Linked DNA regions of Yarrowia lipolytica. The protein of the gene in region 1 interacts with the protein of each later gene in a pairwise test. Links are inferred from orthologs where the notes say so. Each region holds a gene or a part of one and is shown on either strand. Other genes may lie near its edges.

What was found. The genes of interacting proteins can lie anywhere in the genome.
Region 2: the proteins of YALI1_C25367g (region 1) and YALI1_B14680g interact in binary tests that used the Saccharomyces cerevisiae proteins (3 or more experiments, as listed by UniProt). The link is inferred for Yarrowia lipolytica from reciprocal best matches to the Saccharomyces cerevisiae genes CBP3 and MRPL4.

Annotation. Positions count from the first base shown.
Region 1 is NC_090772.1:2,535,316-2,537,501, forward strand, and holds YALI1_C25367g (uncharacterized protein), read right to left. Parts: upstream 1,416-2,186; coding exon 501-1,415; downstream 1-500. UniProt on the Saccharomyces cerevisiae protein: Chaperone required for the assembly of ubiquinol-cytochrome c reductase of the mitochondrial respiratory chain.
Region 2 is NC_090771.1:1,466,391-1,469,030, reverse strand, and holds YALI1_B14680g (mitochondrial 54S ribosomal protein uL29m), read left to right. Parts: upstream 1-1,008; coding exon 1,009-2,031; downstream 2,032-2,640. Other genes in the region: YALI1_B14686g (uncharacterized protein), read right to left, coding at 1-134, 289-405; YALI1_B14658g (uncharacterized protein), read right to left, coding at 2,466-2,640. UniProt on the Saccharomyces cerevisiae protein: Component of the mitochondrial ribosome (mitoribosome), a dedicated translation machinery responsible for the synthesis of mitochondrial genome-encoded proteins, including at least some of the essential transmembrane subunits of the mitochondrial respiratory chain.

The sequences.
Region 1 (2,186 bases):
CCAAGTGGTAAAAAATTTGGGTTCTTTTCCATGTACGATAAATGCGCGAGTTGCTTGCTTAGTCAGATGGGAGTGATATGGGCCGAGGTAACTGCACGTGTCGGATGAAGTGAGACATTTATTTATTCCAATTGAACCACCCAGACGAGTCCGTTTATTTATTGCCTGCTTCGAATACAAATAGTGAACTCCTCTAAGTTGGTTGCTTTTCCCCGTTGGTTCTAGTGTGATGTTGATCGTGTTTGGGTTGGAGTATATTTGGTGGAATCGGTTTGGCGGCGGTTGGAGAATCTGGCGTGTTTGTGTGTCACGTGGTGTGTCACGTGGTATGTCACGTGACGGGATGTGATGATGAGAACCTGTGTGGTACCATGTGGTATCGTGTGGTTGATCTGTTATTCAGCATGATCTTGTGTGTATCGTAGACCTACTCGTACCAATACTCTCACAGCTAGGTGCGTGGTACTTGTTGTGCTCTTTTAATCAATTATATACATTGTCTACTGCAGCTTACTCTTGGCAGCAACGTTCTCCTTCTCCTCCTTCTGTCGACGCTCTTCACTGAGTCGGTGCATCTCCGCCTCCTGCTCCTTGGTCAATGGCTCGTACTCGCTCCAGGGATCGATGAAAGTAGAGTGACCTACAGCAAAGTCTCGATCGCTGGTCTTCTCAAATAGATAGAGCTGGGCCCGAACGTAGCCAACCACTCGCTTGATATGCTCCACGTCAACGTTGGGGTCTCCGTCAAACAAGTTTCTCCAGAGCGCAGCAGCCAGAACCGCATCGCCCTTGATGAGACCCTCGTCGTAACTGAGCATGGCTCCTCGCAGCTGCAGGTTGAAGTCCTTCATGTAATTTTGGATGATTCGGTTGCTGAGAATTCGAATCTCTGTGCTCAGCCGCTTCTCAATGTCGACAAACATGGCGTCCACTAGCAGCTGCTGGTACTCCTGGGCAACGGCAGGTGGCAGAGCTCGCATCCGCACAAACAGCATCCATTCGTGCAGAACGACAATCTGGAACCATCGCGCAAAGGTCATAGGCATTCCAAGCTCCTCGTACCAAAACTTGGCGGTCTCGGACAGCACCGGTGGCTTGACGGGCTTGACGGGCTTACGTCGATCCTTCTTGTTTTCCTCCTTGGAAAGCGGGTCTCCGAGATCCACAAGAGCCTGGGCCTTGCACAGGTTGTAGTAGTAGCCTCCGGCCACGGGAGCGGCTCGGAACTTGTCCATGTTGATGTTGAACAGAGACACAATGCCCTCTCCCACCTTTTGCTTCCATGTGTTGGGGGTGGGCGAAGCATCCTCGGTGAAAAAGGGCAGAGGGGCGTTCTCCTTCTTGCTGTAGCATCGCGCGGTCAGTGGTCGCGCCACACCAACCCGAACTGCTTGTCGAATAGCAGGTCTCAGCATTTTAATGATGGAATGTCCGACGGTGAGAATTTCAAAATTAGGTTCGTCTCCTACAACGAGTCAATATGCAGCAAATGGGAGATCAGTTGTTGTCGGGGCTTAGTCAGCGAAGATCTGGAACGGAACAAGTCATCGGAGCAAAGTTGTGGACAACAGGCAATTGTCTCAGTGGTGTTTATTTACAGAGTTTCAAGGTCTCAGGGTGTCCAGGAGGCTGTCGGGGGACGAGTCTTTCAACTGTATGAAAAGTACAGTATGTACATACATAGTGTCCATAGTCGTAAGAGAGTGTTTCAAATCGGTCATGTATGGATGTTTTTTCCGACAAAAAAGACCAAAATCTAAAGTGACACTCGCAAAACCTCCATTTAGCTATTTTTCGCAACTAAAACCCTTCCGCTTGACGAGTTGTAGTGCTCCTGTTCCGATGCTCGTTATTCTTAAGTTATTCTTAGGTCACGTGCACCTCGGAGTATGAAGAACTCTATATAGCTTCCCCGAGAAGAGCTCCAGGAATGTGGGACCTACTTGTACTGTACCACTGTATTCTATCGATCTTTAAACGGTGATGTACTAGGATACAAGTACACTACTCGTACCGGTACGACCAATGTTGCTCGAAATCACAGCTCCAAAGACACGTTTGTTTTAGACCAACTATAGCCGACCCCCCCCCCCCCCCCCCCCCATCCCAATTCTTGGAGACTTGTTGATTTGGTGTATCCTCGGTGGTATCAGATTGTGCAGAGGCTTACTACGGTTTTCACAATC
Region 2 (2,640 bases), on another chromosome or scaffold:
ATGACCGAGTCTCCTCGAACAAAAAGCATTTCGCTCTTCTTCTTTCGGGCCTCCAGTTTTGGACTGCCCTCCACGTACTCGAAGACTGTTTCCTCTACGTTTCCAAGCACCATACTGCAGTGGATATCGTAGGCCTGGGTTAGTAACAGAATGGACTAGGACAGGTCATTAGCGGACAGCAACAGACATTACATTTACACATGTATCATGTTCAGTGGATATGTATCCGATTCATACCGATCTTGACTTGCCTGCCATCTTCTCATTGTCCTTCACATTGCTACTCACATGCAAAAGTCCATAAAGCTCTCGTCCTCCACGGAGCTTGACGAAAACGTTCTCGTTGAGAGAAAGACCAATGAGATCAAGGGGCTCAGAGCCGCCTGAAGTGTCGACGTCGGTCATTGTGATGTGTGGTGTGTCTGTCGATAGATGCTGATTAGTGTCTGAGATGGTGAGAGTATGGGGTTAGGGTAGGTTGGGAGGAGTGTAGAGGTGGCAGCTGGATGTGCAGAAGACGATGTGGTATTGGTATGATAGGAGGTAGTGGTTGCAACAGGGGATGTCGTTAGTGTAACTGATCTCTTAATAGGTGTCTAGTATGTCGCATGGTGGTCGGTCTATATAGCGTCAACACCGTTTCAGGTGACTGTAAGTATAGCACTAGTAGTGGGTAGAAATGTGAGTGGGTATAACTACATACTGTACCAGTAGAGAGAGAATATGGTGCCGAACATCACAAGGAAGAGGGACCATCATGTTTTGGAAGTCCTGACATTGAAAGAAGTCAGATGTTAAGGACTTGACATCTTTTTAATGAACAATTAGGTGCCCTGAAGACCATTTCTATTACTGATCCTCTCTACACGCGTCACATGACATGAAACCCTATTCTGCTAGCACCTACCGAGCGAAATTTGGGAGGTGAAATCCTGTGGGAGAATAAAGTTCCAGATTCCCAAGCGATTTTTTCAACTGACGACTGTATCCAACAGAACATACACAACCATGATCCGATCGCTACACACATCGGCTGTTCGACAGGGTCGTAAGAAGTGGCCCAAGCCGCTGCCCGGCTCCGTGACCGGCAACGAGTTTGTCAAAAAGCTGGAGCTCAAGGCCCCTATTGCGCCTGCTCTGGACAATATCGAGGTACCCGATTCGCATCCTCTGTGGCAGTTTTTTTGCAAGGACAAGAAAATTGTACGGGATCAGCGGAGCTTTGACAGCAGCACGCGACCCTGGAGTGTGGCCGAGCTGCGACGAAAGTCGTTTGAGGATCTCCATGCTCTGTGGTACGTGTGTCTCAAGGAGCGAAACATTCTTCTGAAGGAGGAACGAGTCACCACCCGAATGCACTTTGAGAACCAGAACGGTGGTTACAGAAGCGAGCATGACCGAGTCGGCGAAACCATGGTCAACATTCGACACGTACTGGCCGAGCGATACAGAGCGTTTGAGGAGGTCCAGCAGGTGCTTCCCGAGGTGCGAGCCCAGGCCAACGCCGAATTTGACGAAAAGTACGTCACTGCTGACGCCGTCTACGACAGCGAGCTGTCTCTGGAGCTCGAGCGACACCTTGTCGCCTACTACGGCTTCTCCACCGACCCCCGAGCCAACGCTGGCGTGCAGGTGGACGAGAAGATTATCGAGGCCGTCAAGTACGGTGCCAAGCTCAAGTACGAGCGATACAGCGGAGCCACCGACGAGAACGGCAATCCCATTGCCAACCACGGCTTTGTGCACCAGCCCAAGCGAGACATTTTTGAGCAGTACCTCATGTTCCTGGCTAATGACACCACCGAGGGAGTCGCCGAGGCCCTCAGCTACATCAAACAGTACCGAGAGTCCAACCCTCTGCCCGTGGCTCCCTGGAACGCCATCCGGGTGCTGCAACATCTTGTGGAGGAGAAGATGGGCGCCGCCGCCGTGTTTGAGGAGGCTCTGAAGAACAAAAAGTTGGATCTGTCCGAGCAGGACATTCTGGAGAACATTCCTGCCCAGTTCCTTAACAAGCTCCCCAAGGAGTGATGTATATAAGAGTCATGTATATAGTAACGATATGATAACAGATAGTGGGTAGTGTGTATGAGTGGGAGTAAATGTTGTATATGGGTACAACTGTACTACTGACGATAGTGTACAATTCATGAGTGTTACGGCTGATGAGAATGCTGTGTAGCCTGTCTGAGCGTACAAAGCCTTTCATGGAAGAGGATGTAACTACGGTTACCTCAACCTCCATTACAGTATGTACTTGTAGATCGAAACCATCTCCACTACGAGTACATTACAGTACATTACAGTATTGTCTGTCCAAAAGTACCCTACGCAAGTATTGGTTCATCATGACTTACTGAAATTAGTCATCAAATCGTCAAATGCAAATATATACAGTCTCTGAGTGGTAGAGGATTGCAATGGAGCTTGTCGCTTCTAACCACGGCTCGTTACGCTCTCCGCAGTTAGCCCTCAACAACATCATCAACATACCCCAACTTTTCCTTCCGGGCCTCTCGTCCTCCGTCAGGAATAGCTCCAAAACGGTTAAATGGCCACAGCACCTTGGGACACTTGCCATGCATGAGACCGAGTGACACTGGACCGAAGTTGTTGGAGTCGAACGAATGGATGTTGTCG